Ovis aries: one gene and its partners. The protein of the gene in region 1 purifies or fractionates together with the protein of each later gene. This does not show direct contact. Links are inferred from orthologs where the notes say so. Each region holds a gene or a part of one and is shown in the gene's direction. Other genes may lie near its edges.

Region 1 (7,540 bases):
AGTTTGAGCAGCTGGCTGGGAACTGCACCCCGCGCTGCTTTCCCGAGCTCATCAGAGTTAAGCGTTCACACTAACACACCAGAAGGCTAACAAGGACTTGGCGTTTTCGAACAGAGCGCGCAGGAATCCTGCGCAGGCGCTTCCGGAGTCGGAAGCTCTCCTGCGAGCCCCTCCCCAGGCCTGCAGAGGGCGCTGCGCCTCGGAGAAGCCAGAGCGTGACGCCGCTCTAGCCAGCGCTCGGGCTCGGTGGCGGGCGCCGCAGCTCCGCGTCCCGCTCGCCTCCTCCCAGCACAGGTGGGTCCGCCCGCGGGGGGCAGCAGTGCTTGGGAACCTTGGGGCGGGCGGGTAGCGGCAACCTCTGGGCACAGAGTGGTCTCCATAAGCTAAGTGCCCCAACTCGGGCCCAGCTCCGGCGGATCGGGCTGTAGGCAGGGCCGCACGTGTGCAAGACCAGTTCGGGTGGGTTCCTCCTGGACTTGCAGTGTCTGTCCCGGGACCCCTTAACACCCCAGGGGTCTCCGCCCGGGCTTGCTCACGGTTTCCTGGGGACATCGAGGGGCGGGGCTCCGAGGGGCGGGACTCCCATGATTGACACGTCTTTCGCCAGGTTTCACAGGCACCACTGGACCCTTCCCCTGCCCTGAATCTGAGCCAGCACCATGGTGAGAACCCTGAGCCCAGCTCCTCACCTCTGCATGCGCACGCCCTTGCCCTTGTCCGGCGTGGGCTTGCCTCCGTTTCCCGATATAAACCTGGGGCTCCGCAGGGGTGGTTCCGGTGGGTCTGCCCCAGCAAGGCAGCCTGCACTCTTGCAACCATAGCACGGGCGCCTGAAGGTGAAGACATCGGAAGAGCAAGCGGAAGCCAAAAGACTAGAGCGGGAACAGAAGCTGAAGCTATACCAGGCAGCCACCCAGACTGTCTTCCAGAAGGTGGGGCCCTCAGAGGTAGTCCCCTCCCACCGTGGCTCCCTTAGCATAGCACTTGACCAAGAACTGCGCCTTAGAGTCAGGTTGCTAGAATCCACATCTAGGTTCTATCACTTACTAGCTGTGTGTCCTTAGGCAAGCTACTGAATCTCTTTGGACCTCAATTTGCCCATCTGTAAAACAGGGCTAACGATTGTACTTACTGCATAAGGCTGTTGTGAAAATCAATGATTGCAAGATTACATATTATCCCATAAAGGGCTTTGTATAGTACTTGTAGTAAAGTGTGGCATTCACAGAACATTCAGTAGTTCTATTTATGTTATGGAGCTCTGTAGAAGAAGAGTGATGTGATCCCTGATCCTGTTATCTATCTTCTCAGCGCCAGGCTGGAGAGCTGGATGAGTCAGTGCTGGAACTGACAAGCCAGATTCTGGGAGCCAACCCTGACTTTGCCACCCTCTGGAACTGTCGACGAGAGGTGCTCCAGCAGCTGGAGGTCCAGAAGTATGTAGAGGTTTAGGGCCCAAGGAAGATGGCCCTCGCTCTGGCCCTGCCCGGCCTAGGTCCAGGGGTGGAAGAAGAATGGGGCAGCCAGGGGCATAGGCAGAGGGCAGTGGAGGGCTAGGTGCAAAAAGTCAAGGGTGAAATGAGACTGGGTGTTGGAGGGCCCTGACCCCCATTCCTCTGGGCACAGGTCCCCTGAGGAGTTGGCCGCTTTGGTGAAGGCAGAACTGGGCTTCCTGGAGAGCTGCCTGAGGGTGAACCCCAAGTCTTATGGTACCTGGCACCACCGCTGCTGGCTGTTGGGCCGCCTGCCAGAGCCCAACTGGGCCCGGGAGCTGGAGTTGTGTGCCCGCTTCCTCGAGGTTGACGAGCGGAACTGTACGTGCCTGCAGATTCTGTCTCTCTGCCTACACCTGCCCCATGTCCCGGTACTAGGGCCTCAGTAAGGTCCAGAGTTGGGAGGGATGGCCAGGATGGGTCCACTGAGCTGATGACACAAGGGATGACGAGGCCAAATGTGTCCTCCATGGAGGGCACAGAGGTGTTTCTTGGGGTCTCCAAGGGGATGCCACGGTCCCAGCCAGGCAGCTCTTGCCCTGCTTCTGAGATGTGTTGTCTGCCTATCCCCCCAGTTCACTGCTGGGACTACCGGCGGTTTGTGGCTGCACAGGCAGCTGTGCCCCCTGCAGAGGAGCTTGCCTTCACTGACAGCCTCATCACCCGAAACTTCTCCAACTACTCCTCCTGGCATTACCGCTCCTGCCTCTTGCCCCAGCTGCACCCTCAGCCAGACTCTGGACCCCAGGGGCGCCTCCCTGAGGATGTGCTGCTCAAAGGTAAGCAGGGTCAGGGAGTGCTTGAGAGGACTCTCCCATGCTGCCCTTCTGACCCTGATGCCTAGGCCTGCTCCTGAACCTACCACTCGGGAAAATGCCTGGCTCTGGGGATGCATAAGATCCAGCCCCTGGCTGCAGAGAGCCCAAGTGTCCACTTGGCTCCTGATGTACGCAGCCCCTGGGTAAGGCTGGCATATAAGTGAAACTGAAGGCAGGAAGTTCTCCAAAGAGAGGGCAGTATGTAGGGGTAGACAGGAGCCCAGAAGGGTCCTAACCAAAGCACCATGCCTCCTTGGCCCCTGCAGAGCTGGAGCTGGTGCAGAACGCCTTCTTCACTGACCCCAATGATCAGAGTGCCTGGTTCTACCATCGCTGGCTCCTGGGACGAGGTGAACAGTAGGGAAGAAGTGGGGGATTGGAGCCAAGAAGGAATGGAAGGATATTTAAGGAGACCTGAGACTGTTTCTTCTCACAGCTGATCCCCAGGATGCCCTGCGCTGCCTGCACGTGAGCCGGGATGAGGCATGCCTGACTGTCTCCTTCTCTCGGCCTCTCCTCGTGAGTCCCGAAGCTTTTGCTGAAGGGTACCGTGGATGGTGGGCCTGGTGCCGTTGGAGTGATGGTCTGTCTCTGTCCCCTGCATCAGGTGGGCTCCGGCATGGAGACCTTGCTGCTCATGGTTGATGAGTCACCCCTGGCTGTGGAGTGGAGGACCCCAGAGGGCAGGAACCGGCCTAGCCACGTCTGGGTATCCCAGGGTTGGTGGGTGGAGTCGGGGCTGGGACAGGGCTGGGGTGGGACAGTCAGAAAAGTGGTGCAGCCTGGGCTTTCTCTTAACCCCGTGCTCCCAGCTCTGTGACCTGCCCGCCACCTCCCTCAACGACCAATTGCCCCAGCATACATTTCGTGTCATTTGGACAGCAGGCGATGCCCAGAAGGAGTGTGTGCTCTTAAAAGGTGAGCCAGCCTGCAGCCTCCCCCCTTTGCAGCAGCGCCCCCAATCCCTGTCTTCGTCTCATGGGTGTCCTCTCCTACCCCTGCTCTGTCTCTCAGGCCGCCAAGAGGGCTGGTGCCGGGACTCCGCCACGGATGAGCAGCTCTTCAGGTGATGAGCACAGGGAAGCACACGGATAGGAGCAGGGCTGTGCACTCTGGGCAGCTGGGTGGGGTGCTGAGGGCTCAAGCAGATGTCTCAGACTGGCTACTGGGGATGACCAGCACTGCTCCCCCACCCTGCCCACCCTCAGGTGTGAGCTGTCAGTGGAGAAGTCCACCGTGCTACAGTCGGAGCTGGAGTCCTGTAAGGAGCTGCAGGAGCTGGAGCCTGAGAATAAATGTGAGGCCCGATTCCCCCGAGCTCCTGCTTCTCTGGGGGCCCATCCTAGGCAGGCTCCTTGCCAGGAGGATCCCTCTGTCCTAATCCCCACCCTCTCCCCAGGGTGCCTGCTCACCATCATCTTGCTGATGAGGGCGCTGGACCCCCTGCAGTACGAGAAGGAGACCCTGCAGTACTTCCAAACCCTCAAGGCAAGCTGGGTCCGCGGGAGTTGGCACCGGGGCAGCCCAGCACGCAGCGGCCAGGCAGCTGACACACAGCCCCTGTGCTCTCTTCTCCCCGCCAGGCTGTGGACCCAATGAGGGCAGCGTACCTGGACGACCTGCGCAGCAAGTTCCTGCTGGAGAACAGCGTGCTCAAGATGGAGTACGCGGAGGTGCGCGTGCTGCACCTGGGTCACAAGGTAGGGCGTGCGCATGCGCCTCCCCCACCCTCACCCCGCTGGCCCGCCTCCCTCTTCCTCAGGACCGGCTGTGTCTATATCTGCTCCTCAGGCCTCAGCCAAGACACTCACCGTCCCCCGCTTTGCCTTCCATCTCACGTGCCCTTCTGGACATTTCTTCCTTAGCTCATTCCATGCTTCTCTCCCTGGGGCAGACCCCAACACCTAACAGCTGAATAGTTCTCAGAGATTCCTGACAAACTCCTGACTCTGTTTTTCCTCTGTAGTCGTTCCTAATCAATCTCCCCAACACGTTATTTTTATCACGGTGCTGCTGTCCACCTTTGCTCCCACCAATCCAACTCCGGGCTCACTGGGCCCTCTCCCACTGGTATCTGTGTTCATACCAGCACCGTGTACCTGCCCCGCTCCCTGCACTACAGGCCACCCCGACCCCGTGTCCCTGATCAGGAGCATGTACTACTGGGGGTGGTGAGGTATGCTTCCCAGCTGCTCCCTCCTGTCCTCAGCTGGGGACCCCCCAGGGCCTGTGTGGGGCGCACTGGGCAAAGGCCTGATAAACGACAGCTGAGAGCTGTCCGCCAGGCCTCGCTGGGTATCTCGTCCCCCTCCTCAGGATCTGACGGTGCTCTGCCATCTGGAGCAGCTGCTCTTGGTCACTCACCTTGACCTGTCACACAATCGTCTCCGAGCCCTGCCCCCTGCTCTGGCTGCCCTGCGCTGCCTTGAGGTAAAGCCCCCAATCCTCTGTCATTGTTCTGGGTTTCCCTTTCCCCTTCCTCCACCTCACAAGTCACTCCACCCTACTAAGAGATGCCCGGGTCCTCCCAGCCCCCACAGATGACCCCAGCCTTCTCTTCTGTCACCCAGCCTGACCCCAGGAGCCTTTCCATGCCCTGTAAGCTGATCACCCTGGGCTCCCCGGTGGCTTGTACAAATCCCATACTGACAGCTGCCTGCCTACCTGCCTTGTCTTCCCTGCTCCCAGGTGCTGCAGGCCAATGATAACGTAATTGAATCCCTGGATGGTGTCACCAACCTGCCCCGGTTGCAGGAGCTTGTCCTGTGTAACAACCGTATCCTTCCGTCTGGGTGCCATTCAGACAGCAGGGAGGGCAAGGTGCCACACCAGGAAGGGATGGCCAAGAGGCAGGGCGGGCATGCCCCGGGCGTGAGGAGGGGGCATTGGCCATCTGAACTGAGAAGAGGATAGTCTGGCGCTGTATGAGGCTGTCATTGACTCTCACTGGTAGAGTTTTGCAGGATGGAAGGAAGTGACTCCCTCAAACCTAAGTTCACAAACCACTGCCTACAGATGTTCTTGGGTACCACATCGTATGTTTAAAATCAGGAGGTTTTATATTCTTTAAAAATCTAGAATTCTGATTATTCTCAAATGTGTAAGTTGAAGCACGCTTTGGCCTGCATTTCCACTTGGGAGCCCTTGGCCACTGATGAATCATGGGCGCCTCTGCAGCAGGGGCTGGCTTTCCCCTTGGCCATAGTTTCCACCACTCCTCCGGGACCATATCCCCTCAGGGTCCTGTGCCTCCTGCCTGGCTCCCAGGGGCAGGTATCTGCAGCCTAGAGGCCTGTGTCCTACAGTGAAGTGGCCAAGGGGCCCATCCAGCGGGCTGCTCAGTAGCAGTGCTCGATCTGCAGTGACAGGTGTTCAGGAGCAGGCGGATCTGGAGAACCAGCTGAGCTTTCCTTGACTCCTGCCCAAGGCCTCCAACAGCCTGCGGTGCTCCAGCCTCTCGCCTCCTGCCCCAGGCTGACCCTCCTCAACCTGCAGGGCAACCCGCTGTGCCAGGCGGAGGGCAGCTCGGAGCACTTGGCCGAGCTGCTGCCTTCGGTTAGCAGCATCCTCACCTAAGAGGCCCTGCCCCCACCCTTGCCCTTTAACTTATTGGAACTGAATAAACAATGAGGAGGTCCCTGAGCACTGCTAAGCTGCTGCCGCCACCACCGTTATTGCTGTCACCACTGCTTTTCTGGACAAGAAAAGGAGAGAGATATGTCGGCTCCCCCGCTGTGCTTCCGTTTCATGCTCAGTCTTGCTGTTCCCTGTCGGGGAGAAGCAGAACCTCCATGTTGGGGGCAGAATCAGGGCCACGGCTGGATTGGAGTCTGCCTTCTGCTTTGGGGCTGGGCTGCGCCTAACCTCCAGGCTGGCATCAGGTTTGGGTTCAGGTTCTAGTTTGAGTGGGGCTACAAAGCACCTGGAAGTCTCTCCAACTAGAAAGGCTGAGAGAAGTTTCTTCTGTGATCTGTGTCCCTTCCAGACACCCTGTCTGCCCTGGCTCTCCTTCACCAAAGCTGTTCCCAGGAGGTGTGTTCAGGGTGCCCTGGCTCCACTGTCTTATAACAACACTATTAGTCTCCATGAGTAGCATGCCCAGGATAAAGAGCGCTTGAAAATACTTGATCCCATTTGATCCCCGCAAGCTCTCAGGGCTGAGATGATTAGGCCCATTGTGCTGATGAGGAAACTGCTGTTCAGACGTACCCAAGGTTGCTGAGCTCAAGTGCTGGAGCCAAAGCTGTCTCTGTAACTTGGTCTGGGATTCCAGATTCATGTTCTTGCTTCTGGATTGGGCAGAACCTGGCCTTAGCTCCTAAAGTACAAAGATAGTGTCTTTTCCCAGGGTCCCCCCTCCAACACACACAAGTACCTTGTCCTGACTCTGAAAGCCCTGCGGCACTTGAGCCTCCTGGGACGAAAGGGGAGTGGCTCAGGGGTGAGGGCCCTGAGTCAAACCTGGCTGGGTGGGGAAACAGAAAGATTGATTGAAACAGGAGGGAGAGAATGTGACCAGGCATTTTCCTGTTTCCCTGAGAATCTACCTGGGCCTACATGTACACACACTGGACTCTCAGGGCCCTCCCTGTCCTTTCTGTATCTGGAGTGATATACAAACAGCCTTCCGTGAAGCCCTTTGGCTGACCTGCCTGGAAATTTTATTTCTGCTAGTGTGATTTCTATTCTTGAATGTGCTGGAGGTGGGGTTAGCCACCCCCTGCCAGGTCTGGAGCTTAGACTTGGACAGGAAAAGGTCATGAAGATGCGGAGGGCTCTGCTAGGTCCTGGAGCCTCTGTCCCCACTCCCCTAGGCACCTCCCTGCCACATGCATCACCAAACTCAGCCTCTCCTCCAGGCAGCTTCCTTGTATCTCCTTGCCCTCCCTGTTTTTACTGTCTTCTGTTCAGTGTCCCATGGGCAGAGCTGGGACAATGGCAGGATGGAGAGAAGAGAACCTAAGAACAGGGTCCCAACCTTCCGGAAGATGCCTGACCTCCTCTTTGCCTTGGGGTTCTGTTGGTGGCCTCTGTGGTGTTTCTCTCAGGGTTGGGATGGAATTGGGCAGGTGCCTGCAGCCGGTTGGTCAGGATTCCTAGGAAGAATTCCAAGTTGAGAACTCCGGCCTCCAGCTCACCAGACATTTGTCTCAGTGGAAGAAAGGGGTACTCTGCAGACTGGGGAGAGAGACTTCATTTCCACCTGAGCCCCAGAGCAAAGACTAAAGT
Region 2 (7,805 bases), on another chromosome or scaffold:
CCCAGCATCAAGATCTTTCCCAATGAGTCAGCTCTTTGTATCAGGTGGCCAAAGTATTGGAGCTCCAGCTTCAGCATCAGTCCTTCCAGTGAAGTAGATGTTATTTTATACTGCAGTGTTTTAACATATGGACCCAGGACTTTTCCTTTTTAACTTACACCTAAAAACCAAACCTGTGCATATGCACATTTATATAAGGATTTCTTACAAATGCATTTTCAGTAGACTGATTCTTTCATATACCTAAACATTTCAATATGCTATTTTATTGAATTAATCCTTTTCTGATTATAGCAGTGGCCCATTCAATAGAAATAGTCTCATGTTGTTCCCATAAGAGCCTAAAGGTGGGTGGGGCATGAGAAAGTCTTTTATTCATCATTTGTCTTAGAAGCATCTACAGACTGTATGGGCCACAGAAATATGCATAATCACAGCAGCATGCACATAGTATATAGTATGTTTCCATAAACACAGTGGAGCCACCTGTTACTTGCAATTTAATCTCCTAGTTGTGTACCATTTATTCAAATACTTAAAACCAAAAGTTATAGAATTGTACTCCACTAATTCTTTATTTTTGTGGGATGTTGTTATATCCATTCTTCATTGTTGAATTGCCTGACTTGGAGGAGTCTATATCTTTTGCTTATTTTCAAGAAGTTAGAAAACATGTGAGAAAGCATGTAATGACTTGCTTTAGTAAAATCTTATGTCCTGATATCAAGTTGTGTTCCATAGGATTATAATTGTTGATGCTTGAAATTATTATTCTCTTAGTGTTGTTAATAATTGTATTCTTTCTTGAATTTTCTCCTTTCAGAGCAGAATTCCAGTCACAAATCCATATGTGATACATTTTGACATGCACTGCTAAGATGAAACACAAAAATGAACACCGTATACTTGTTTTATTATTCTCAGATATGATTAGATGTACTTTATCATGGTTTTATGCTACTGACCTAGAAGAAAATAATACTAAAAAAGGGTAGCAGTTGAATACCTGGGACCTGCAACTTCAGTATTTCTGGGATGATCTGGAATATCACAAGGAGAGATTTTATTACAGCATAGTCACACCTTCTCTGAACCCTCAGCCCAGATTCATACACATTTTCTTCATTAGAAGTTGTCACCAGATACTTTTCCAGGATGGCCAACAGTCTCCCAACAGAATTTGATGTGATAGTGATGGGGACAGGTCTGCCTGAATCCATCCTTGCCGCTGCATGTTCCAGAAGTGGTCAAAGGGTTCTGCATCTCGATTCAAGAAGTTACTATGGGGGAAACTGGGCTAGTTTCAGCTTTCCAGGATTGCTGTCCTGGTTGAAGGAACATCGGCAAAACAGTGACACTGTGGAAGAAAGCCCTGCTGCATGGCAAGACATGATCCATGAAACAGAAGAAGCCATCCCTCTTTGCAAGAAGGATGAAACCATTCAACACGCCGAAGTGTTTTGTTATGCCAGTCAGGGCATGGATGGCAATATTGAAGAGCTTGATGCTCTGCAGAAAAATCCTTGTGTAGCATCTAGTACCCTCATAAAACCTCTGGATTCTACAAGCTTGTCTGAGGAAACTCACTCATCACACATTACTAGCTATGAAGTGCCTACACAAGACAACAATGTAGACAACAATCCAAAAAACAATGAAGAAATAACTGATACGGCAGAAACTTCTGTGAAAGAAGAATATTGTGGGTATGATACTTATAAACACACACTTTCAGATGGCACTAAAGATGAAATCAAACCTGTATTGGAAAACAACAGTGTGCCACCAAAGAGAAAGAGGATTGCTTACTCTCAAATAGTTAAAGAAGGCAGGAGGTTTAATATTGATCTGTCATCGAAGTTGCTTTATTCTCAAGGACTGTTAATTGATCTGTTAATCAAATCAAATGTTAGTCGTTACGCTGAATTTAAAAATGTCACTAGGATTCTTGCATTTCGAGAAGGAAAAGTAGAGCAGGTGCCTTGTTCCAGAGCAGATGTCTTTAATAGCAAAGAGCTCACTATGGTTGAAAAGAGGATGCTAATGAAATTTCTTACATTTTGTTTAGATTATGAACAACATCCTGAGGAATACCAAGCTTTCACACAATGCTCATTTTCAGAGTACTTGAAAACCAAAAAATTAACCCCCAGCCTCCAACATTTTATACTTCACTCGATTGCCATGATGTCAGAATCATCTTGCACTACAGTAGATGGCCTTAAAGCAACAAAAAACTTTCTTCAGTGTCTTGGACGGTTTGGCAACACTCCCTTTTTATTTCCCTTATATGGCCAAGGCGAAATTCCCCAGTGTTTCTGCAGGATGTGTGCAGTTTTCGGTGGAATATATTGTCTTCGCCATAAAGTACAATGCCTTGTAGTTGACAGAGAATCTGGAAGATGTAAAGCAATTATAGATCACCTTGGTCAAAGGATAAATGCTAAATATTTCATTGTGGAGGATAGTTACCTGTCTGAGGAAACATGTTCCAGTGTGCAGTATAAGCAGATATCCAGGGCAGTGCTCATTACAGATCAGTCTGTCCTAAAGACAGATTCAGATCAGCAGATTTCCATTTTGATAGTACCTCCAGTGGAACCAGGAGCACATGCTGTCCGAATCATTGAATTATGTTCTTCAACCATGACATGCATGAAAGACACCTACCTGGTACATCTGACCTGTTCATCTTCCAAAACAGCAAGAGAAGACTTAGAATCAGTGGTGAAGAAATTATTCACCCCGTATTCTGAGACAGAAGTAGACAAGGAAGAACTTCCAAAGCCAGGACTCTTGTGGGCTCTTTATTTTAACATGAGAGATTCCTCGGGAGTCAGCCGAAGCTCATATAATGGCTTGCCTCCCAACGTTTATGTCTGCACTGGGCCTGACTGTGGACTCGGAAGTGAGCATGCCGTCAAGCAAGCTGAAACACTCTTCCACGAGATCTTTCCAAGTGAAGAATTCTGCCCCCCACCTCCAAATCCGGAAGACATTTTCTTTGATGGTGATGAAAAGCCATCAGAGCCTCTTGGAACCAGTAATATAGTAATGGCCAAACTAGAATCCTCTGAGGGAAGTAAAAACCTAGAAAGTTCAGGGAAGCACCTTCAAAATTAGAAAAAAAAACAAACTGGAAATGCTACTTTGGGCCTTTGTCCTGGCATCAGAATATTCTCATTTAAAGGACAGTTTCCTATAGGAGTAATTAGATGTGGTTATATGATGAATGTCATGCAGATGTCTATAATTCTCTTTGTGACTTTTAGTCATTGGATGCCTTTGTTAACCTATCAATGACTGATGTATTGGGTATTGGACTTGTTTTGTTTCAGAATGGGCTCCATGACCCAGAATTAGCTTTATTTTAGTACTGGGTATATATGTGAGAGTTCCGTGTTAGCAATGGTGCTTAAAGGAAGATGATATTATATCTGCTGATTATCTTCAAATTTTATTATTGTCTACAGAACGGTGATATCTAAGGAATATTTAAATTATTTTTACAGCTATTACAGTTGCTACCACCTCTGAGTAGTGAAACACAGGAAATTATGTGGGTCTTTTGTTTATAATAGAAACATATAGATATGGTGGCAGCAATAGCAACTAATGCAAGTGCCAATGTGATAAAATATGTAATTGTTGGAAGAATAGTTTTGCATGATCTTTTATTTGTAAAGGTGATGTTTAGAATTCACCTTGCAGTTTAATTCTCCTGGTTGACCCTTGTAGTCAATGAGGCAGTGATGTCATCCCAGTCTTATACATTGGAAAGAGTCAGAGAGTTCAGTTAGTAGTTGCAAAGCTCATTCTTGGGAGGTTTGGTCCAAAGAAAATCTAGGGGGAAAGATTAGTTCTGGTTCAATACTTCAGAAGACTTATGCAGAGCACAAAAGAACTTCTAAGTAATTCAGGCTAAAGAAAAAATAAACTGCTCCAGGAAAAGATATTTCAGAATGCCTGAAGCATTTTTAACCTGGGATTACAGATGGTTTTAAAAATCCATCTGTGAGTAGATTTCCCAAGATTTCTCAATGGAAGTGAAGTATACCATTTTGTTGGCACCACCGCTTTAATTAGTAACACTACAGTTGTTAGGAGTAAATCAGAGGAAGCTTTACCATGCCCCTTTGGTTGTGTCCCAGCAAGTAACGAGGTGGACACCTTCATAATCAGCTCCTGCCTCTTAGCTGTTATCTAGAAGATAGAAATATTTTTTTCCAGAACCACCAGAAGTTATAAAGCTGCTTATATTCTAGCAGAGCAAGCTTGTGAAACTCAGAAGAAGTAAATTTCCTTCCTAAGTCACCATTTCTATTCCTCAGACAGAGAATGATAATCCTATAGGAAATAAGCCCTTTAATTACATTTCTTTTGCCCTGGAACAGAGCATTTACTGTGTGCTACGCACTCCAGTACTCCTGCCTGGCAAATCCCACGGATGAAGGAGCCTGATAGACTGTAGTCCATGGGGTCGCTAGGAGTCAGACACGACTGAGTGGCTTAACTTTTCACTTTTCACTTTCGTGCATTGGAGAAGGAATGGCAACCCACTCCAGTGTTCTTGCCTGGAGAATCTTAGGGATGGGGGAACCTGGTGGGCTGCCGTCTCTGGGGTTGCACAGAGTCGGACACGACTGAAGCGACTCAGCAGCAGCAGCAGCACACACTTACTGTACTCTCTCATTATAGTTTCTCAACAACTCTGTGAGGCAGATAATACATTTTCAGAGAGGAAGTAAAGACAGTAATTCACTCTGAGTGTGATTTGTGGCAGAGCCAACATTGAAATCCAGGCTTCCATGATTTCAAAATCTTTCAACTAATGTTAACTGTTAGTAGAGTGTAGGTACTGAAGGAGAAAGAAAAGATTACTGGCTCATGAGAACCAGTCCAGCATTGCTAGTGAAGCAAAGTAGGCAGACTCTCAGCTTATTACTGAGTCAGAGAAATAGGAAAGTAAAGATTAATTAAAAATACATGTAACTTAGAGCTATGAATCTCACTGAAGTAGAATTTGTCTAAGCTTTAACACAATTATTCTTTTTAATTTACCTTTTGATTATGATGTTATAAAAAGTAACATGTTACTAGGGCAAAATACGCTCTAAATAGACTTTTGTTGCTCTTCTGTATGTGAGAAAAATGAAACAAGAACAATTTAAATTTCAACTTACTGAAGTAGAGAAGTCATGAATTGATATTAATATATATATTTTGAATCTAGCAAATCTGTTATTGCTTGGCTTCTAGGCTTATACTTATCGAAACAAATGAAATGTCTGAAATAGACCTAAAAATTAGTTATTAAAATGTAAAAGAATTTGAGATGTTAAATGGAAGTGAAGGTAACCCAGACCTATTGAAAATATTTTAATTTCAATATGAGGAATATTTTTACTCATAAGAATTTGAGAATATCAGTGAGATGTTGCAAAAGATGATAGAACCACAGTAATAGAAACAGGAAAATGTTAGATTAGATAAAATAAGTGTTTTGAAAACTAAGAAATGAATTTATTATTTTCCTACTTGAATACAAATAAGTTGGAAATAAAAAATTATTACCAGAGAAAAGCATTTTAAAAATTAGAGGAGAGTATAATTTTCTTTTCATCCTTTTTTTTTTTTAAAGATTTATTTTTGATGTGGACCATTTTTCTAAAGCCTTACTGAATTCGTTACAGTATTGCTTCCTTTTTATTTTTTGGTTTTTTGGCTGTGAGGCATATGAGTGGGATCTTAGCTCCCAAACCAGAAACTGAACTCACACCTCCTACATTGGAAGGAAAGTCTTAATCACTGGATCACTAGGGAAGTCCCAACCTAGTATAATTTTCTGACAAACCCATTTTACTGTTATGGGCTTATTGGTGAATTTTTTCAAATGTTCAAAGAATAAATAATATCTATGTACCAGAAAGATATATACTAACACTTGCATTTTGAAGTTAATATCGCCTCAGTACTAGGAGGAAACATTTTGAAAAGGCTCTCATCTGAACAAATGCAAAATATTAGCAAATGGAAAATAGTTATTTACTGTCACTCAGAATTATGCAGTTAGTGTTCAACAGGATAACCATTAAATCAATATCAACAGAACAAAGTAGTAAAAATTCAAAGTATTAACTACAGGTAACTAAAAATATTAATAAAAATATTTATCTCTGTTAATGACTGTGTTGGTTTCTCATTGTGATAAGTAGTTATTAAAACTGAGAACTTATATCATTCCTGTTAGGGAAAAATAAATAATTCTCAACCGGAAATTAAATAATCTTGGTACTATTTTTTGTATATAGTTGAGGAAAACTCATCATTGTAATAAATCCTTAATAAGCATATGTAAATGAGAAAGATAAGGAGAGCACAAATTTTTCCTATTAGTATGGCTTTTAAATTAGTGAAACCTGTAGTATCATAAACAAAAGACTAATTCAGAAAATTGCAGGATATATAATGTTTAAAAATTAATCTTATTTCTAGATTCCAGCAATGATAAGCTACAATTTAAAGTGTTTGGGTATTAGTATATGCAAGCCATTTAAAGAAAGTTACACAACCGTGTTGGGATAAATTAAGAAAGATGCTTATATAGAAGCAGATTGAAGCAGATATACTACATCCTAGTATAATGGAAGGGAAGTAAATAGGAAATCTGAAAACCATAATTGTAGTCCTCACTTTACTACTTACAGTTGTATAATCATGGGAAAATCATGCCTACTTTTCATCATCTATAAAGTAGAAATAATGTTTTCAGAATTATTGCGAGGATTAATGTAAATGAAATTATGTCCGAAGAACTGGCAATAAGGTGAAGTTAGTATGTAAATTTGCTACACTCCCACTTAACATGTATGGATGGATGATTTATATAATTTGACAGAACTGTGATAATTTAGGCTAATAAGCAAGCAAAGATATGTCTTTTTAACTTAGGAGGAAAACGGGATTCTTGCCTCCCAAGAGATGGGATAAAACCTACCTGCATTATACAAGGATAAAGTACTCTATTTTTTAAAAGGTAAATGCAAATCCATAAGGCTTACTCGGCAAATTTATGAAAGAATTAAGTTCAAACAAGAAGATAACAAATAGAAGTTAATTCTTAGAATGGTATTCAGATTTCCTAATATTAAAAATGCAAACTAAGCAACTTTGATGTAGTTCATGCAAAAAAATTTTAGTTGCATGTATCCTCATACCAGTAGCATTATTATATCTGTTTTTTGAAGAACTATTTAGAAAAATATAAGAATCCTATAACCAGTCTGTCTTTTTATAGATCTAATTCACTCTGAGTTAGCATATGCCCAGGAAAATATTTTAAAAGAAAAAAGGCTATTTGTATAAAGATATTTCTAGTGAGTGCATTTATTTGAATTTTTAAAAGAGCCCAGTAATTGGGAACTGGATAAGTAAATTTTCATGTATTGCTATTGCTTTCATAGACTGTTATATAGCCATTAATAGTATTGATATATGTAAAACAGTATGGGAAATGTTTTAATGAGCCTCAAAAGTGTTAAGTTATTGTATTTACTGATTGTGTAAAAATTGAGGTCTCTACATCGGAAAGAATCAATAAAACATTGTAATTAGAGTGTAACATTAAGAGGCCCTTTTTTTCTATAAAATATTGATGTGTGAAATAAAAAATAAAAGATTAATTGATAAAATGGTTTACTGAATTGGAGACAATATTATTGATTTCTTTGAAACTTCTAAAGTTCTCCTTTAAATTAAGAATATATATTTAAATGTTAGTGTCAAAAGATAATCTTCAAAAGCAT
Region 3 (8,591 bases), on another chromosome or scaffold:
CTTATTTCACTAGCATAATGTTCTCCAAATTTAGCCATGTGATTTTTCTTTTTTAAGGCTTATTTTATATCTAATATACATGTAGATGCCACATTTTCTTTATTCATTCATTCATTGATGAACATTTGTTTCCATATATTGACTACTGTAAATAATGCTGCAATCAAGATGGATATCTCTTCAAGATACTGTTTTTATTTGCTTCAGATATACACCCATAAGTGGAATATTTTTGATGCCTATTATTTGCCAGACACTGGAAGATGTGGCAGGAATGTAACAGTGAACAATATAGGCACAGTCCTTGACTTTGTGGAACTTACTTTCTAGGAGGATGGCAGATATGAAACACATAATTGCATAAGGAACTCATTATTTCCCATCATGAAAAGTTCAACAGAGGAGCATAGGGTGAGATCCTAAGCTAGTCTGAGGCACTTGCCAGATTGTGTCACTTTGAATGAACCACAAAATGAAGATTAAACTAGAAGAAAGAAGGAAGAAGGATCAAAGTTCACCTCAGGCACATGGAATAGCATGTGGGAAGACCCTAAAGTAGGAAGAAGCATGGGATATCAGTGGAAAGTAAGGAGAGCCAATATGGCTGGAACTGAGAAAAAGGTGAGAGATACGAGATGACTGTTGAGTTCAGCAGGGTCTTTTAGAACATGTTTAAAATCTTGGAGTGGATTTTTAAAGCAATAGGAGATCATGGAAGTTTTAGGTAGAGAAGAACATGATCAGATTTGAATTTAATAAATTTATATTAAAAAAAGTTTACTCTACCAGCAGTGTGGGGCATGAACTGGAGAGAACAAGCATGAATGAGGCGGCCAGCTGGGATCTACTGTAGTAGCCTAGGGAAGAGATTATGGGGGCAGTCCAGATTTAGAGGTGGATATATTTACAATATATCCTTGAGATAAATCTGGCAAGAGTTGCTAATGAATTGGTTTAAGGGTGAAAGACAGTAATATATTAAAAGGATGATAAATGATGATATATTAAGCTTTTGACTTGAGAAACTGATGAGAAGTTGGCAACATTTCTAAGATAGGGAACACTGGGTGAAGAGGTTTGGAAGTAAGGTTGAAATATTCAGGAATTCAGTACTGGATATGGCCAGAAGAGATAGGGTTGGATATATGGATTTGGAGTTCAAAGGAAAGGTATGGGAGAGAGACCATTAAACTGCAGTTTGTAAAAATTTTTATGGTTTGTAGAAACATCATATCCCACAGTTGAATAAACTTCTGAATACAAGGTAAATGTTCAGAGAATTGTGGTTTCTCAATTCAAGAAATCTTTAAATAAAAAAATAATGTCCCAATGATTTAACAGGTTAGTCAGTTTGTAGGTATCCATCAACTCATCATACTGTGATTTATCCACATAAAATATTTCAGTTCTCAAAAATAGATATCCTTAGAATAATATAATAGATAAAATTAAGCTGCTTTGCTGAATGCTATTTTGTTGATGTTGTCAACCCCTACATTCACTTTTGCCTTGCAAAAGATTAACACAAATACATGGGAAAGAAAAAGTACTTTGAGTGTTTTCTCCATGAAGACACTTTACATTTTCCTAATATAATAATCTTTTCTATGCCCAGAGAGGATGTGATAACTTCAGAGAAAGGGCAGCTAAATATAGGCTGGCACTTTGTTAAAAAATTATTTTTATTTATTTATGGCTGTGCTGGGTCTTCATTGCTCCACACAGGCTTTCTCTAGTTGTGGTGAGTGGTGGCTACTCTTTGTTGCAGTGCACGGGCTTCTTAATGCAGTGGCTTCTTTTTTGCAGAGCACAGGTTCTAGGCACACGAGCTTCAGTAGTTGCAGCACACAGGCTTATTAGTTGTGGCGCAGGGGCTCAGTTGCTCTGACATGTGGAATCTTCCTGGACCAGGGATCAAACTTGTGTCTCTTGCATTGGCTGGAGGATTCTTATCCACTGTACCACCAGGGAAGTCCTAGGGTGGCATTTTTATCTTTTTGAGGGTTGTGCTCTCTAGCTTTGGGGGAAAATAGTATTTCAAATCTGGGGGAAAACATAGTGGAAAATTTATACTACAGAGTAATTATTTTTTTTTACTTCATTAGATATGAAATTCATAAAGACATGTTCATTGCTGTAATTCCAGCATCTAAATCTTGCACATAGTATCTAAATACTTGCACATAGTAGGTACTCAATGAGTATTTAAGGAAAGTTAAATGAATTAATGAGTTGTGTCTTCCCAGTGTGATTATATTTGTTAGAAAATTTCTGAATCCACAGAAAGTTAGATATGGTCATACTGAAAATGATACACACACACACACACACACACACACACACACATATACACACACATACATATACCCAAATATCTCCAAAGACAAAAATACTTTCATTTATCATGTTTTTAACCACCCACCCATCTCCAAAATAGAGATTTCAGAAAGCTTTTTGCATTTCCTCTGGTAAATCTATTAATTTTTATTTCCACTGATGGTATTAAGAGTCTCACAGATCTCACAGTTAAGGTCTATTTCACTTCTGATACTACTCAAAACTTTCTATTTGTATCAAGTCAAATAGCAGAGTGATTTGCTAGACAATAATTTCCCTTTTCAGAGGAATCTCTATTACACAAAACATTCGTCAGAGGACACTTTCACAAAAGTATTGTTCAATACAAGAAGAGATTCCATAAGTGATATTAATACAACACTGTATGATGTTGCTAATGATTGTCACAAAACTCAACAAAGTGCAGCCAAAAACCCCAATAAAATACAATTTTAAAGACTTTTATGGAACTTAATGTGGTAACGAACATGTATTGAGCATCTTCAAAATATAAGATACATGCTAGTGATGGGCAGCTATCAAGGTGAAGACCCAGTCCCTGTCTCTATAGTACTTACCATTAGCGGAATCAGAGCTAAGTTGTTCAGCAAACACTTACTGAATTCCTGTTATACACCAGGATTGTGTTTGATGCAGGGGTAAAAAGATAAGTAAGGCACAACTCCTATAATTAGGGGCTTATAATTTAAGGTATGGTATATCTGGGTGTGTATTTTGGGGGCTATGTGTCCAGTATAGGAACCAACATAAACACAAATAATTTTTAGTGCAATATGGGCGGTTATGACAGAGTGGTAGCAAAATGTAGGGAAATTTAACCCAATATAGGGAAGAAATGCAGGGAGGACGTGGTGGAAATGACTGACTGAGTCTTGGGGATAAATGTTACCTGGAGAATGGGAAGATCATTCCATGCTGGAGGAACAACTGTGTGGCTGCAGAACTACAACAAGAGGTCAGACAGGTGGTGTAAAGAATGGTCCAACGCGGCACTTTCTTTGAATTATTTTGAAACTCTGGTAAAATAAACTACACGATGAATTTCTGGGATCAAAAAAGTACCCTCCCTCACTCCCATGCACCTTCCTTTTCTTTTTTATTTTGGTATTATCAGACAGCAAAGCATTTTAAGTAAGGGGGGTGAGGGTGCAGGTGGGAGGAGGCCAACCTTGAAAATACTTACGAGAGCTATATTAGCTGCTTGGCAGAGGCAATCTAATCCTCATCAAATACAATCACTTGAATACAAAGGCCACTTTACCTAGATCATCTCTGCAGGACCTTATTGGGAAAATCTTGTATGAACTCTTTGTATACGTGTATGAGACTAGATTCAGAATCAGTTAACGCGTATCAAGCAACTACTGTGCTTTCATTTTTCCCTCCTGCAACCAATATTAATATATAGCCAAGGTGGCTGTTTGGAGTAACTAGAACAAATACAGATGCAGTGAGGTTCCATTCCAGCGAAACTAGGGAGAGATTTTTTGTGGATTTTTATTGGGGCGACAAAGACAAAAAAAGATAAGCAATAGAGTATGAAGGTATTGGTGTGAAAAATTATGCTTTGGGGGCCAAAACGAAAGTATAGACACGCTAAGGGAAACAGTTTCCAGGCTGAAATGAAAATTTCCTTTGTTCACAGAACAATTCCCTTTCAATTTCACTCCACCCTCGTGTCTCCTAACAATTCTTGCTTCATTATTGTCAAGCAGTTCGCAGGTCTTCCTACCATTCATCCTAGCCATCAGAGTAAAAATCTACAACTCTTTTCTACCTCAAAACTCCAGGCTAAATGCGCTACTGTACTCAGCCTGGAAAAGGAATGGAGCTTTTAACGTTCGATTAAAAAGTTTCAAATACAACGCTGTAGCCTCCTACCAGGACCCACCACTCGATAACTACAATACCCAGAATGCACTGTTTCCCTTCCGCCATCTACCGCGGCAGTGCGGAACTTGATCTTATTTGCACAAGAAACAGTCACATGACACGTTTCCTGTTAAGATGGCGGACAATCTCCCTTCGGAGTTTGATGTGATCGTAATAGGGACGGGTATGTGTGGCTCTGGTACTACCTGGACAAAGTGTAGGAAGTCTGTCCCATTCCTACCTTCTCTGTCAGGAGCGAGGGTCGGCGAGAAATGTTGGGGTCGAGTGTGGGAGGGAGGACGGAAAGGAAGTGAGGTAGTCTGGAGTCAACGCGGGACTTGGGCGCTCCAGGGAGGGGCTTGGACCCGCGGTGCATAGCGCCATTTGAGTAGGGGTCGATATGGTTGATGCCGATTGCTGAGGTTGGTTGCTGCGGTGATTCCTGTAATTTCCTTAGAGGGAGGAGGGTTTGCAGTGTCAGGAGAATGGAGGGTGGGAATTTTATCGATGGAGACACCATGGCATGACATTATAATTTCCTCGCTGATTTCAAAGTGATATTCCCCATCATTTTGTCTCGCCATTTCATAGGAATTTTTCATATATTTATATAGTCCTAGGGTTCAGTGCATCTCGGATACAGTTTGTTACTCATTTGTTACCCATTTATGTTTAAATGTACTAAGGCGAGGAAGTGGATTCTTTTCTGTTGTGTTGAGAAGCGTGCTGCTGCTACTGCTAAGTCGTTTCAGTCGTGTCCGACTCTGTGCGACCCCGTAGACAGCAGCCCACCAGGCTTCTCTCCCTGGGATTCTCCAGGCAAGAACACTGGAGTGGGTTGCCATTTCCATCCCCAAGCATGAAAGTGAAAAGTGAAAGTGAAGTCGCTCAGTCGTGTCCAAAGCCTAGGGGGTTGTAATTTGTTGAGGTAGCCATTATTCCTGCTTTATGGTGCTGAAAGAAATCATTTTGCTTTCTTCTAGCCACCTATCTACCCACAGCTAAATGAGCTGAAAACAAGTTCTGTGAGTCCAGTTCTGGTGTGTGATCGTTTCTTTCTCTTGTTTGTCCACGGTTGATTCTTCATGTTTTGGGTGGTGCCAGAACTCCCTCTGCAGTTTCTAGTTGACAAATTACACGTACAACACGTGGCAGAAAACATTTGGAAAAAGTTGTTATTTTGTTTTTCTTAACAGTGTAAAGGGTGAATTTTAGATGGGATGAAATAGTTTGTTGGATGGGGTTTTGTCCTGTCTACAGAATGTGGTAGGCTGGAGAACCTCTGATGAATGAGACCCTGTCCATTGTGTTAATAAATTCAGCTCATTGTCTTCTCAAACAGTAGGAGCAGCCATGTTTCCAGGTCGGGAGTAAAAATACCTATTTTCGAGTGATTATTTGCTAATCCGTGTGCTAAGCTCTTTTACAAATCGTATGTAATCCTCATAACTTTGTTAGAATAGGTATTCTGTACACTTTACAGAGGAGGAAAAAGGGCTTAAAAAGGTTGCAGTTTGCTCAAGATCGCACTGCTGGTAAATTTCCAAAAGTCCATTGTATGCTAAAAGGAGAATCAGTAGTTCTGACACTCAGAATTAAACCATATTAATAGAAATAACTGAGAAAACTTGGTTGTAGACCTTGCTTGGCCATTAACCAGCTGTGTGAATTTCTAGGGTTAGGAACTTAATCTCTCAGAGCCTCAGTTTCCTTGGTTTTGAATATAGGCAGGATAAACTAAATAACCTTTCCAGTGTTGTCTAACAAAAAATTCACTTATTCTAGTTATACATGGGTGATTGTTCTCAAAACAGTAAGGACATGTTTATTCTCAACCTGAGAATTGCATGGCTACAAATTACCTTGCTGTAGCTGCTATGAACAGATCTTGGATGATAGCTAGAAGGAGTCAGTAGACTCTATTTATTCTCTCCAGTCTATCTTAAAACTTAGAACAGTATCCATTTTAGAATAGTTGTTATACCATACTTGGGTCCTGTGTTACTCCCTTTGTTTGTTGTACTTTGGAACTTAGGGCGTTTTAAAAATTACTTTGTATCATTAAAATATTTTTTCTTGATCAAAATTTTAATCGATAAGTGGCAATTCTTAAGTGCTGTTAATTATTATATAAGAAATATTTTGCTCTCTAGTTCAGTTTGTAATATGGACTATATCCATCTTCCTGGAGTCTGTTATGATAGAGGTAGGAAGATTCTGTGAGTGATCCAGAAAATTGCATCAGGAAACATCTGGCTTATTTGGAAAAAGATTCATTTTAGACTTATTAACATGAGAGTAATGTTACTTCTCAAAGTATGGGAAGAACTTATTTGAGTTAGAGGTTTTCATATCACTTAGTGAACACTTTAACTTTTCAAGCACGTTGTTTAAATTTATGATTTGAAGCTTTGTATTTAGGTAAAAGTCATTCCCAAATTAATGAATCCAATAATTATAATCATTATTGACTAAGTGATTTTTAATGTGTTTGGAATATTTCTCTTCTGAAATAGTATGCTGAAAGTGGCCTTTAAGATGTGTTTGCCTTACTAAGTGTGCTAGCTTGAGTCAATCAGAAAAATCAGTATTTCAAAGATTCAGTTTTGATAACAAAAGCAGAATTAATCATGCATGTATCAGAAACATGAAAGTGGGCTATGAGATGCAGTTTTTCTTTTAGCAGATTTAGTTTTAGTTAAAATGTCATAAAGAAACAGTTGCTTTATCAAGTAAAATAACCTGTGGATACTATTTTAAATCCTTTTGGCCTTGATTAACTTGTTTTTCTTTTCATTCTTCATAATATAACATTTTCATTAAGGTCATGTTTTGAAGAGATTATGGGAAAATAAATATTTGTATGTATTTTCTTAGTTAAGCCCATTTACTCCTGATTACAAAATACAGGAAATAATCTCTCAAACACCTGAAAACAGAGTTGTTTTCTTAAACCGTGCAAAATATAGAAGAAACCGAAAAAAGGAAGGAGGGCCAAATGGAGCCTCAAGGGAGAGAACAGAAATGGAATAGTGACTCCAGTATAAAATTAAAAAAAAATTAAAAGTGAAAAAAAATCATGACAATTATCTTAAAAAAAATAGATGTAGAGATAAGTGTCTAGAAAGTGGCCTTCAGTTTGGGTGCACGGTTGTAATTTTTAAGACATATTCCATCTATAAAGACATTTTAATAATAACTTTGTAGGTTACAGAGAAGTATCATTGGTCACAGGTTAAAAATCGTCCTAGTCACATAATAACATAATAGCACCTCACTGGATGTGACTTATCTGGCATCTTGTATAATCTGTAACCTGAAGCAGAGCCATCAATTCAACATAAGAGCAGGTGGGATGGAAGTTACAAGCATCATGGGATATTATTGGCATTCTTCTTACATAGGGGAATCCCTCATTCTTTCACTTAGAGCATATTCATTCTTATTTTAGAAAATTCTAGCATGCTCAGAGCATATTAAGTCTTAGTCACTCAGTCGTGTCCATCTCTGTGACCCCTTGGACTGTAACCCACCAGGCTCCTCTGTTCATGGGATTTTCCAGGCAAGAATATTAGAGTGGGTTGGCATTTCTTCTTCCAGAGAAGACACAGGAGATGTTAACAACTGCTGCAGAAGCTGTGTTTGGAGGGTGTCATTAGACCTAAGTGACAGTTTATAGCCTAATGTGAAAGGGGAAAGGCAAACACCTAAAATGCAAACCTACATCAGGCAACACAATGACCTGGGACCATTTGGCATAGGGACAGACTAAACATTTTTTAGAATATTCAGCCCAGAATTATTGAGAACCTAGTCCTTGCCCTTGTGACGTTTACTGTGTTACCTATTCTGAGGAGCTGTTTGGGGTTCCTGATAGTCACATGCTCAGAGCTGTTCTAAGACAATGTGGGCTTTTCATTGCATCTTTCTTGCTTTCTGAAGACCACATAGAGATTTATTCAGCATCCCTTTCCTTTCTAAAGTACATCACACATATTATATTTTGGAGTTCTTCCCCAAATGGGCTGTGGAGTAGACTAGCTTAAACATTTTTCCTGCAGAGGACAAACGTGGATCCTTTTCATTTAAGAATTTTATTGCTAAAGATTATGGGGAAATAAATGAAATAAGAAAAATGAAAAACATGGGGGAAATTACAGGGATATTGCTCATAAATCCTGACTGTCTTGCTATATCATGTTCAGCATAGTCCAGAATCAGTCATTGTGGCATCCTGGCATAAAGGGAATCACTTAACCTTCCTTCTAGGTGACTTTGGGCAAGTTGTATAACATCTTGGAACATCAATTTGTTCATTTGTAAAGTGAGAGACTTGAATTAGGTGACCTCTAAGATAGGCA

Evidence for each region.
Region 2: the proteins of RABGGTA (region 1) and CHML purify together in Homo sapiens (co-immunoprecipitation; 3 studies listed by BioGRID and IntAct, counting the BioPlex papers as one, with this or other methods). This does not show direct contact. The link is inferred for Ovis aries from reciprocal best matches to the Homo sapiens genes RABGGTA and CHML.
Region 3: the proteins of RABGGTA (region 1) and CHM purify together in Homo sapiens (co-immunoprecipitation; 4 studies listed by BioGRID and IntAct, counting the BioPlex papers as one, with this or other methods). This does not show direct contact. The link is inferred for Ovis aries from reciprocal best matches to the Homo sapiens genes RABGGTA and CHM.

Annotation. Positions count from the first base shown.
Region 1 is NC_056060.1:20,712,700-20,720,239, forward strand, and holds RABGGTA (geranylgeranyl transferase type-2 subunit alpha), read left to right. Parts: upstream 1-228; 5' UTR 229-459; intron 460-607; 5' UTR 608-659; coding exon 660-662; intron 663-821; coding exon 822-932; intron 933-1,311; coding exon 1,312-1,436; intron 1,437-1,626; coding exon 1,627-1,814; intron 1,815-2,068; coding exon 2,069-2,272; intron 2,273-2,577; coding exon 2,578-2,661; intron 2,662-2,747; coding exon 2,748-2,830; intron 2,831-2,918; coding exon 2,919-3,020; intron 3,021-3,123; coding exon 3,124-3,229; intron 3,230-3,325; coding exon 3,326-3,377; intron 3,378-3,519; coding exon 3,520-3,608; intron 3,609-3,710; coding exon 3,711-3,799; intron 3,800-3,894; coding exon 3,895-4,011; intron 4,012-4,627; coding exon 4,628-4,741; intron 4,742-4,999; coding exon 5,000-5,087; intron 5,088-5,738; coding exon 5,739-5,887; 3' UTR 5,888-5,963; downstream 5,964-7,540. UniProt on the Homo sapiens protein: Catalyzes the transfer of a geranylgeranyl moiety from geranylgeranyl diphosphate to both cysteines of Rab proteins with the C-terminal sequence -XXCC, -XCXC and -CCXX, such as RAB1A, RAB3A, RAB5A and RAB7A.
Region 2 is NC_056065.1:34,432,839-34,440,643, forward strand, and holds the end of CHML (rab proteins geranylgeranyltransferase component A 2), read left to right. Parts: intron 1-823; 5' UTR 824-1,155; coding exon 1,156-3,123; 3' UTR 3,124-7,691; downstream 7,692-7,805. UniProt on the Homo sapiens protein: Substrate-binding subunit (component A) of the Rab geranylgeranyltransferase (GGTase) complex. Binds unprenylated Rab proteins and presents the substrate peptide to the catalytic component B.
Region 3 is NC_056080.1:77,649,277-77,657,867, reverse strand, and holds the start of CHM (rab proteins geranylgeranyltransferase component A 1), read left to right. Parts: upstream 1-4,343; 5' UTR 4,344-4,365; coding exon 4,366-4,414; intron 4,415-8,591. UniProt on the Homo sapiens protein: Substrate-binding subunit of the Rab geranylgeranyltransferase (GGTase) complex.